Xenopus tropicalis: one gene and its partner. The protein of the gene in region 1 purifies or fractionates together with the protein of each later gene. This does not show direct contact. Links are inferred from orthologs where the notes say so. Each region holds a gene or a part of one and is shown in the gene's direction. Other genes may lie near its edges.

Region 1 (5,607 bases):
CTGAAGCCTGTCTTTGCTTGTGTGTCTACAGGGCTGTTACAAGATTAGGGTTTTTTTAGTTATCCAATATGTCTCCTTTAATCAAGCCTATATTTATGGTTCCATTCTTATGTAACAGTTTCTGAGCTAAGAGGCATATTGTTGGTATTTTAACAAAAATATGTATCTGGTATAAGGATAGTTAGAATTATTTATTATGGAATCAGTACAAATAATATTTAATATTGATTGCTTAATGTAAGGGGTCTAAATTACAAATACAAAATAATATAAATATATAAATGTATATTTAAAAGGGCTCATCTGCTCTGTACTATAATATGCATCTCATCACCAACAGAGTTAGATGGTATCATAAAAGATAAAAATAGTGGGTAATGTATTTAGTTGGCCAGTTACTGTCAATAAAATTTGCTCCTCCAAAGACTCTTTTAAAAATTGGAAATCAGGTACTGATGATCTACCAGCAATACTGGCTTCGTTCTCCATAGTACACACTAAGGGAGGTAGCACACGACGAGTTTACTTGCCCCCGATAAATCTTCGCTATTGTGGGTGACTAATCTCGAAATGCCATCCCACAGACAAGAATGTAACAATACCTGGTAGTCTAGTGGGGCGGCGGGGACGCCCGCCGCCTCCTCCGGTGCGGGGACGCCCACCGTTGTCTTCTCGCTCTGCCGTTTATGCGCATGCGCACTCCTGAAGCCTGTAGTCGTCCAAAGTTTCCGACCGAAACACTACTTTTTTTAAAGCATTTCCTTTATATTTAGATGAGTACAATTTGTTGGCACGATATTGTTTTTCACACGTCCCTTTTAAACATAAAATCTCTGCTGCTACAGTAGTAGTGGATCTAGTGGCTGTGTGTATTGTTGGCAAACAGGAATAAGGTGACTTGTTCACTGCACAAATCAAAGCTTTGAGCAGAGAAAAAATGTTTATTACTTTTTGGTCAAATATTTGGAGCGAAAGCAAGTATTGCCAGCAGTCTCGGGCTGGCCCACAGGGATACCAGGAAAATTCCCGGTGGGCCCAGGTGCCAGTGGGCCCCCCAGCTTCTAGCTATTTGGCCTAATTCATGGTCATTGCTTATTTTTCTATGGGAACAAAGCAACTAAATATATAGAATAGATTATAGTATGTAAAGATAAAAAACACTATGAAAATATAGAGACTGAGTAAGAAATGGGTGAAAAATAGTTTGGAGAGCGTGGGCCCATGGGCTAAGGTTTTCTGGTGGGCCCCTGGCATCCCAGTCCAACACTGATTGCCAGTAAACACCAGAGAAAAAATAAAATGCAAGTCAAAGAAAAAAAAAAAGATTATTTTTTTTGCATCCTGGCACAAGGCGATTAACAAATGGATTTGTTGCAATGGTTTTGTTTTTGGTGTTTACATGTATTTGCCCTGGAAAAGAAGATAATGTGAGCGCAGCAAAAAAACCCAAAAAACAGTAAGTATATTTTGCTCTCAAAAAAGTTTTTTTTTAACTTTCTGATAGAAGATACTGGGGGCAAAACAAAAAGACTTCTGATAAACTATTGATACGTATAACTTGTAAGAGCGGAAGAGAAAATAAAAATTGTGAACCACCGGCCCCCTATTGCTTGAGCCAGCACAGCGCATAGCGCCTTACTGTTTGTAGTTGCCAGACACTAAACCACCTCGACCTAGCCTGTCACTCCCCCACGGAGACAACGTATAGCGTCCGTACGCTTATATATACGTTCACCGTGACGTCACCGTTATCGCGAGATGAGGCTTGTGACGTCTGGATTAGCTGTCCGGCAGGAGTCAAGGAGCTAGACGTTAACGGCGCTGCGGGACTTTTAAACAGCGAACCGGGACTGCGGACTTTGCTAAGAAGACCGGGATTGTCCCGGCAAAAGTGGGACTTTTGGGCGGTATGCGATAAAGTACAGTAAGTATAACTGTACTGCCCCTAAATGGCCTTAGCACAGGTTTATAAACGCATGTCCTTGTCTTTAGCCATAGAAAATAAGTCAATACACTGTGATATCCTTGTGCAGCCATATGGAAAGAAATAAGTCTACCCTGCACCCACATTGATAATCTCACCGCACATTAACATTGATGTCTGTGCGTTTTATTTATAAATATATCCGTCTAGGTTACGTGTACACATACACCATGTGTGTTTATTATTGCTTGGACATATGTGATAAGGATGACTTTTGCTTTGTGTACAGGCACCTTTGCTTACCCCCAAACCATCATCAAGATGTCTGAGAACCAGGGTAATATTCCTCTCAATAACGCTAATGGCAACCGTGTTCGAACTCCTAACCTGAATCAGAATCCCTTGATTAATGTTCGAGATCGTCTCTTCCATGCATTGTTCTTCAAGATGGCTGTGACCTACGCAAGACTGTTCCCCCCTTCCTTTCGCAGAATATTTGAGTTCTTTGTACTTCTGAAGGTAATAAGAAAGGCGTTTTGGTTTTTTTTTTTCCTTGGTGACAAAACTACTGTGACAGTGTGAAAAGTTCTCCTTGTATCTGCTTGGGGTTTCTTCCATGTACTCTACCATCTCCCACACTTTGATAACATACAGGCAGGTTAATTGGATTCCGATAAAACTGACCCTAGTTTGTGTGAATGTGGTAGCGACCCTAGATTGCAAGCTTCTCTGGGGCAGGGACTAATGTAAATGGTGGTTACACTTTTCCACAGCATTTCAGAGGTTATCAGTGCTGTATAAATGCAATCAAAGTAGTGGCCCTTTTGTTTGATATATCGCTTTTCTTTCTAACATGTATTTTTGTCATGTAAATTGTTAAGTCATATAAAGGTATGGGATCCCTTATCCGGAAACCCATTATCCAGAAAGCCCCGAATTACGGAATGCCCGTCTCCCATAGACTCCATTTTAATCAAATAATTCAAAATTTTAAAACTGATATCCTTTTTCTCTGTAGTAATAAAACAGTATCTTGTACTTGATCCCAACTAAGATATAAATAATCCTTATTGGATGTAAAACAATCACATAGGGTAAAATTAATGTTTTATTTGTTCTTTAGTAGACTTAAGGTATGGAGATCCAAATTACAGAAAGACCCCTTATCTGGAATACCCTTGGTCCCGAGCATTCTGGATAATGGGTGCTATACCTGTATACTTTTTAGAGTTCCATTGTTTTAGAAATTCGGATAGGCCATATATCTCTTATAATATTAATATCAGTGTTACCTTTTGGAGTTTTTCTGTTAAAGTCACAAGTTTTTTCCAACAGGGCTACTGTGAGATTAAATACATTTTGTATTGTTTTTGGCCTATATGCACAGGCTTTTGGTCTAGAGCAGAGAAGGCAAATGGTGGTGCACTTTCTTGCAGAAAAATTGAGAACTTAGTGGCCTCTCTTTTGTAAATTTTCATTTATACCACTTTACATGCATTAGATAGAGCCTTCTTTCTTTGTATAAAGTTAATGCTATTGATAAATCAAACAGTACCCTTAACAACTCATAATATAAAAGCATTCTCGTGACCCTTTACGAATATCCAAGCTTTGTGACATCTTGGGGGAGATTAAACAAATTTAATTTGAAGGGATGCTATAATTCCTGTTCTATCTTATTATTTACTTTTCATCTGTATGTACTTCTGATAAGGGGTAAGCGCTGAGCAGTTTTCAGTTACTAAATATATTTTGTTTTTGTGAAATGACTAAGGTCAATATGAAATGAGACTTTTTTTTGTCTGAAAATGTGCTTCTATTGTTGAAACAAAATGCCTAAAAATACACTGCAAACAATGTCAGTCGCCAAGAGGCCAAGAACTCCTAGATAAACTACTAACAGGTTCTAAACTGTTCAATGGGCTTAATTATAGCAACCAATCAGATCTTTGCTTTTGCATTTTTAGCTCTGACCATTGACCTTTTATCCAGATGGATCTGAAAGTTTTTGTAGGTCTGCCAAATTTCTTTTCTTTTTGCCAATAAAAATTAGGAATAAAATAAATATTTTGCTAGGGTAAGCCAACTATCATGGAAAAATATAAGGTCAATATATAGCTTTCTTTAGGCCTCAGGGGCATATAGGAATTGGAGTTCAGTTTAGCAGATTTATATTATAGACACCAGAAATTCTTGTTGGTCTGCTCTGACAAAATGTGAAAAAAAGTAATGTACTTTCTCACTTAGTGTTTAAAGGGGTGGTTTACCTTTTAAGTTAACTTTTAGTATGTTATAGAGCGGCCACTTCAGAGCAACTTTTCAATTGGTCTTCATTATTTATTATGTATAGTTTTTTAATTATTTGTCTCCTACTTCTAACTCTTTGCAGATTTTAAACAGGGGTCACTGATCCCCACAGCCAAAAAACTATTGCTTTGTGAAACTTCAGTTTAATTGTTATTGCTACTTTTTTAGTATTTATTTTTCTATTCAAGTCCTCTCCTAGTCTCCTTAGTCTTTCATTCATTCAAACCACACCCTGGTTGCTAAGGTAATTTCAATTGTAGCAACCAAATAGCTGCTAAAACTCCAAACAGGGCTGCTAAGCAAAAACTGAAATAATTAAACTACAAATAATAAAAAATAACTAACAGTTACTAAAAGATAACTCAAAGTTGAACAGCCCCTTTAAGTAGGCTAGATATTGTGATACTTTTCGTCCTGTCTCTGCTTGCCTGTATAATCTGCAGCAGGAGAAAGTGGGCGTTTTTATGGTTTCCTTCCTTCAGATTGTTAGCGACATACCCTAACCCTTGGTACCTGCTGACACAATGGATATAAGAAACCAAATAAATAAAAAACATTTTCCACTTACTTTCTTGAGCACCATACATCTGCTATACTGCTAGCCAAACTTTGATCTAGAATTGTATGTATAACTTTATTTATAAAACTCTACAAGGATACGCAGTGCACAATTACACACAGGGAGGACAAGTGTTATAATAAATACAATAAATAAGAATAAATACACAGAGATTAAAGGAACAGTAACACCAAAAAATGAAAGTGTATAAAAGTAACTAAAATATAATGTGCTGCTGCCCTGCACTGGTAAAAGTTGTGTGTTTGCTTCAGAAAGTCTACTATAATTTATATAAATAAGCTGCTGTGTAGCCATTGGGGGCAGCCATTCAAAGGAGAAAAGGCACAGGCACATAGCAGATAACAGATAAAACACTATTGTATTCTACAGAACTTATCTGTTATCCGCTATGTAACCTGTGCCTTTTCTCCTTTTTTCCAACTTGAATGGCTGCCCCCGTGGCTACACAGTAGCTTATTATATAAATTATAGTAGTGTTACTGTAGCAAACACACCGGTTTTACCAGTGCAGGGCAACAGTGCATTATATTTTTATTACTTTAAAGCTCTTTCATTTTTTGGTGTTACTGTTCCTTTAAGCGCCATGTGGTATGAGAAACAGTAGGAAGGAGGTCCCTGCCCTGTTGAGCTTACAGTCTACAAATTAAATCTATAATAGAGCTTGTAGACCGTTAGAAACTAGGTAATTCAAAAGATTTAAAAAGTAGAAAGAAGAGTGAATGTGATGGGGGCCAAAGACTGAGGGGGTTGGGAATTTGGAGTATATGGACTTTGTAATGGATAAAATGAACACCAG
Region 2 (5,760 bases), on another chromosome or scaffold:
ATCTCTTGCTTGATGATGGTTACACAGGATTCTTACAGGACCAACGTTACGGTATCCATGTAAAAATGCTGCTGCTCCTCCTCTGGTTTATAATCCATTCTAGTAACATTTCTCTGTTACTAGTATAATCTAAATCCATGAGCATTTTTGTTCTAAATTCACTGTGTTCTTTTATTTTAGTTACTTACAGGAACATACAAGAAAACCCAAACCTCCATCACTGCCAATTGTGCTGCATATAAAGTGAAGAATGACAAGGTAATGGTCTCAGGTTATTTTTTTTTAATTTTTTTTTAAAGGGCATCACAGTGGTTCAGGCTCATAATGTTGGCAGGTCACAGCATGGTATACATAGGCAATGTATTATCCATTGGCTGAGAAAGGTGGGGACAAGTTGTAAAGTACAGAGGAAAATTGTGCTCCCCAGTATGCTTTTTACAAAATGTAAATGTGCAGGTCGGAACCCACATATATATCGTAGTTAGTAATGTTTTATTGTTGGTAAAAGGTGGCATTACATACATGTACACTTAATAACTGAAATTTTTTTTTATTTATTGTATAGATTGTATAGTCATCTATACTCATGTTTCCTCCCTGTGAGAGAAAACCATGTGAAACCTTGGCAAATGTAGATGTGCCCCTGACTCACACATACCCACCCCTCAGAGCACCAAAGCCTTTTCTCTACCCCAACATGTTTCTTGCTCAAAAGTGAAGGATTGTGGGACTTGTTGTTCCTTTACCTGCCCAGTGTCCCATAATAATATATATAATATTCCTGTTCTGGTATTTTGGAGCCCAGAGAGGGTGTTAGTGCAGCTTCTTTGCCGCTAAGTCTTTGTGACTTGGTTGTACTTAGCCTTTATTGCTCTAAAGCCAACGTTCTTTTTAACTGTTTTTATCCGCATTTGTGTTAGCATTGCTAAGGTGTTGGTTTCAGATGGAGGTGTGTTTATTTTCATTCCTGTTTGCTGGAAAGAATTAGATGCATACAGGTGTTTTACAGTATTTGAAAGAAGACTTAACAGTACTGTAGAGACACTCGGATTTTTTGGTGGACCAAACAAAAGCCGCATATAAGCTTTCAGGGGGGACCCTTCTGTTAGGTGTGGTTTTCTTTGCATTCATGGAATAAATGCATTAAAGCTTTGTTTGGCCATCCAAAGAATCTGCATGCATCTTTTCTTGTATAATAGAGGACTATGGCTTGGAGATGTTTGTGGACATGGTGAGCTCCAGTTCCTCATATCTAATGTGAGCAGTGTGTGCAAGAAAACATGTTATTCCATGAACTACTTTTATCCCACAGACAATAAATAATTAACAACATTTTGACCATTTTACCTTTTGATTTTTTTTTTTTTCTCCCAAAGGGTTCCAGTTTGACGCTTGTTGACCTCCCTGGCCATGAAAGTTTGAGGCTTCAGTTCCTGGAGCAATATAAAGCATCAGCAAGGTATAACCTATAAGTACAGTCTTGGAGCATGTATGCTATTTGATTCGTTAGGGACAGGCATAAAAGACACACAAATGTTAAAGTTAGCTCTGATACTCTGAGGCAATTTGCAGTTGGTCCATTTTCTATATATTTTGTGCAGTTTATTGCATTTATCAGGTGCTAAAACATAAAGTGCTATTATCTATTCCTCATTTTTCTGATCAGCTCCTAACTATTCATCTTCCAGCCTGCCATTCAAACCACTATTAGTGCAAGTGAGACTCTCCCTGGCTATTGCCCATATTCATCCATGGACAATGGCGTGTAGCTCTCCCCGTTATGGTACAAACATTTTTTATAAGCTCACATTACATAGATGAAATGGCAGTGTACATACTTAACCCAAATGAATAAAATATGTAACTGGCTAAATGTGTCTCTACAAAATATTAAAGTCTTTGGTTAAATGTCTATGCAAATTTCAAAAATGTAACGGAGCAATAGCCTAGAGTAGGATTTGTTCAGAAAATGAGAGACTTGTTAAGCGGCCTAAATATTCTTACAAAAGGCATTAAGGATAAAACAGTATAATTTACATTTGTTTCAGGGCATTGCTGTTTGTAGTGGACAGTTCCGCGTTCCAGCGTGAGGTGAAGGAGGTGGCAGAGCTTTTTTACCAACTTTTGACAGATGTTGCAATACTGAAAAATGTGCCACCAATACTTATTGCGTGCAATAAGCAAGGTATGTGCCTCTCTCCGATATTTATACACAGGCTTTTAGGGGGCTCATTTATTAAAGCTGGGCAAAGCTGCACCTGGGCAGTAACCCATATTAAAGGAACAGTAACACCAAAAAATGAAAGTGTGTAAAAGTAACTAAACTATAATGTGCTGCTGCCCTGCACTGGTAAAAGTTGTGTGTTTACTTCAGAAAGTCTACTATAATTTATATAAATAAGCTGCTATGTAGCCATGGAGGCAGCCATTCAAAGGAGAAAAGGCACAGACACATAGCAGATAACAGATAAAACACTATTGTATTCTATATAACTTATCTGTTATCTGCTATGTAACCTGTGCCTTTTCTCCTTTTTTCCAGCTTGAATGGCTGCCCCCGTGGCTACACAGCAGCTTATTATATAAATTATAGTAGTGTTACTGTAGCAAACACACCAGTTTTACCAGTGCAGGGCAACAGTTTATTATATTTTTATTACTTTAAAGCTCTTTCATTTTGTGGTGTTACTGTTCCTTTAAACAATCATGGCTAATCTACTTGACTGTCTCTGCTGTGATTAAAGCAGTGAAAGGAAAAACATGTTTGATTACAATATGCAAATTTGCCCAGCCTTGATAAATGAGCCCTAGAAGTACTCTCTTCATCCTTTAGTGTCATGGCACATGAGGAGATAAGTCACCCATGGTTAATCTTCGCTTCCACGGGCACCGCCTCTTCCTGAAATTCCTTTCCACTGGCAATAAAGAGAACAGCTGGTGGGAAGGTATTTTGGAAAGTTTAGGCACCTGTGGGAGCGGAGATTTAACTGTGACCAACTAATCTCCCCTTGTGCTTCTGAGGAAGTGGTGGGACACCACGAAACGCATAAAGCACAGGTCCTTTGGATGTACATGTGTCCTCTTTTTTTTATTTTACACATGATTGAATAAAGATTGCCTTTTTTTTTAATTCAGCTCCTTGTGGTGCTCCCCTTTAATCTCCAAACTTTCATGTGACTGTATATCTATATCTATCAATCTATCTCTATTAATATACATACAGTACTTGTGCACTGGACAGTAGAATTCCTTAAATGTTTTGTTTTAATTTGAGTTCTCCTGCATGTCCTGTTTGTCCTTTAACATTTTCTTGGTAGACTATTATTTGTATGCTTGAAGCCCTGCAACTTTTGTCTGCAGCCATTAATTTATGTCTTAATATTCTCACAGATATTTCAATGGCCAAATCTGCCAAACTTATACAGCAGCAGCTGGAGAAAGAGCTGTAAGTAACGATAAATCACTCTGGGGGAAATTCATTCAAAGCATACATTGGTCATACAAATTAATAGTTTTTTGCATTGCACATAATGCCTATTAAATATTTAGCACAGTGCAATGTTTTGCATAATGTCTAGTAACATCCTAAATGGGGCTGTGCTTCTCACTGCCAGAGAGGCTTGTGATACGCTGCAGCATATTGCTCTATTATATATGCTGATATTTTTATATACAAGTCTCTTTTCCTTCTTTCTGTTTAATAGGAACACTCTTCGTGTCACCCGCTCAGCTGCCCCTAGCATCTTGGAGAGTGGAAACTCTGGCGTCACGCAGCTTGGGAAGAAAGGCAAAGACTTTGATTTTACCCAGTTGCCTATGAAGGTAAAATTCCTGGAATGCAGCACTCGGGACAGTAAAGAAGAGGACGGTGATGCCAATATCAGTAATGTTGAGGGCTGGCTGGCGAAGCTGGTTTGAGAAACTTTTCCCAAGTTGTACAAGGACACAGGTGCTAAGATGATGAAACATTGAATGGATTTTTCTGCATCTTGACTCGTAAGGGAAACCCTTATTTGGTTGGTGCCTTGTTCATGACTGCTGCATTGGTGAGGCTGCCGCTTTCTTACTATGCTTTAGACAAAAGAAACGTGCAGCTCTGAGGAAACAGTGTCTATTTTGTCAGCTCTTGTACTCCATGTCACTTGAACAATAACCAAAATGTAATGAATTCCTTACATGCTGGATTTCCACCTCCCATTCTGTGCTGAGGGAATGGTTAATGCAGAGCAACCTGTATTTCTCCAGCCTTTGTCTAGCTACAACTTCCACTGTACCATTTACAGCCTTTGGCATGGACGTTAGGTACATGTTTAGACATCTGGAGGACCACAGGTTGTGTTGTGCCACCAACCAGTGGCTCAGGGGCAACATGTTGCTCACCAACCCCTTGGATCTTGCGCTCAGTGCCCCCAAACCAGGTAGTTATTTTTGAATTCCTGACTTAGTGGCAAGTTTTGGTTTAATAAAAACAAGATTTACTCCCAAATAAAGCCTCCTGTAAGCTGATAGAGACTGCCTAATAGCCAATCTTAGCCCTTATTTGGCACCTTCATGAACTTTTATAATGCTTTAGTTGCTCTCCAAGTCTTTTTACATTTGGCTGTTACTCACTAGTAAGAAAGGCTGGGAACCCCTGCTCTAGGGACATATATTTATTTTGAATTTGAACTTTCAAATAAATCAGTATTAAAGTGGAAGTTCACCTTCAGTTTATTGCTATGTTTTTTTATTTATTTATTTTGCCATCCCTCTTTGTTTTATTCTTTTTAAAACTTCTTCAGTCTGCTTTGTCTTTCTTTTTTGTCATTACTCTCATGACTAGGGTCAGCAATCCTAGAAACTAGGCAGTACATATAAATCTTTTTAAACTGCCAGTTTAAGTGCACTGTAGAGGAATCAAAATATGGTGTCAATTTGTATCTCATGTATTGTGCTGTTTTGAAAGCACATTGCGTTAGTATTGCTTTTTCTGGGGGGGTGAATACAAGAGAATTGCAAGGCAGAGAGAATTCTAACAGAATATAAGGGGAAAAGGAGAGCACAAGTGTGGTCATGAGAGAAAAAGAAAATAGATGAAGTGGACACCTGAAGAGAAGTCAAAAGAAGGACTGGGGGAAAAAAAGAATGGGAGATGGGAGTTAAAAAAAAAAAAAAAAACAAAGAAAATAATTAAAGAGAAAACAACATTTTGGATCAGAAAATAACAAGAGTTAGAAAAAGAGGGAACAAAAGCAAGAATCAGAAAATTATATAAGGTGCTAAAGCAAAATGTTGAGGCACTCTTGGACTCTGCATTGTGATCTACCTTATCAAGTGCTTTGCTGATCATCTTTCAATGAAGCTATTCTATCTTAGAAATGATTGCTTATATAGTGCTAAAAGTACATTTTGGGGTAAACTGTTTTTAATTCTGCCTTAAGTTATATATTATAAGAACAAGCTCAGCACTCTTCTGCACTCATTTTTAATATTGCGTGCCCTTCCTCATGATACATACAAGGTATGTACAAACACAGAAGAACTTTCAGCCATGATTATGCAAAAAAGCAAGACAAGAAGCCCATCATTACATGAGTCCTTACTGCCCCCAGTAACTATCATTAGCTTTGTGTAACAGTATAGGCCTTCCAATTCCTTTCTTATGAACCCAGCGTCATGACCGGTTTATCTATAATCTTTCAATAACCAGTTATCAAAAGGCATTGGCAACAACCACTGCAACTATGAGCTTTCTGCTAGGGAGGTTCTGCTTGTTGAATG

The links. The genes of interacting proteins can lie anywhere in the genome.
Region 2: the proteins of tmem259 (region 1) and srprb purify together in Homo sapiens (affinity purification with mass spectrometry; 3 studies listed by BioGRID and IntAct, counting the BioPlex papers as one, with this or other methods). This does not show direct contact. The link is inferred for Xenopus tropicalis from reciprocal best matches to the Homo sapiens genes TMEM259 and SRPRB.

What each region holds. Positions count from the first base shown.
Region 1 is NC_030677.2:100,353,816-100,359,422, forward strand, and holds the start of tmem259 (membralin), read left to right. Parts: upstream 1-1,793; 5' UTR 1,794-1,924; intron 1,925-2,213; 5' UTR 2,214-2,245; coding exon 2,246-2,443; intron 2,444-5,607. UniProt on the Homo sapiens protein: May have a role in the ERAD pathway required for clearance of misfolded proteins in the endoplasmic reticulum (ER). Promotes survival of motor neurons, probably by protecting against ER stress.
Region 2 is NC_030681.2:129,995,991-130,001,750, forward strand, and holds the end of srprb (signal recognition particle receptor subunit beta), read left to right. Parts: intron 1-180; coding exon 181-258; intron 259-1,376; coding exon 1,377-1,459; intron 1,460-2,048; coding exon 2,049-2,185; intron 2,186-3,390; coding exon 3,391-3,445; intron 3,446-3,704; coding exon 3,705-3,918; 3' UTR 3,919-4,785; downstream 4,786-5,760. UniProt on the Homo sapiens protein: Component of the signal recognition particle (SRP) complex receptor (SR). Ensures, in conjunction with the SRP complex, the correct targeting of the nascent secretory proteins to the endoplasmic reticulum membrane system.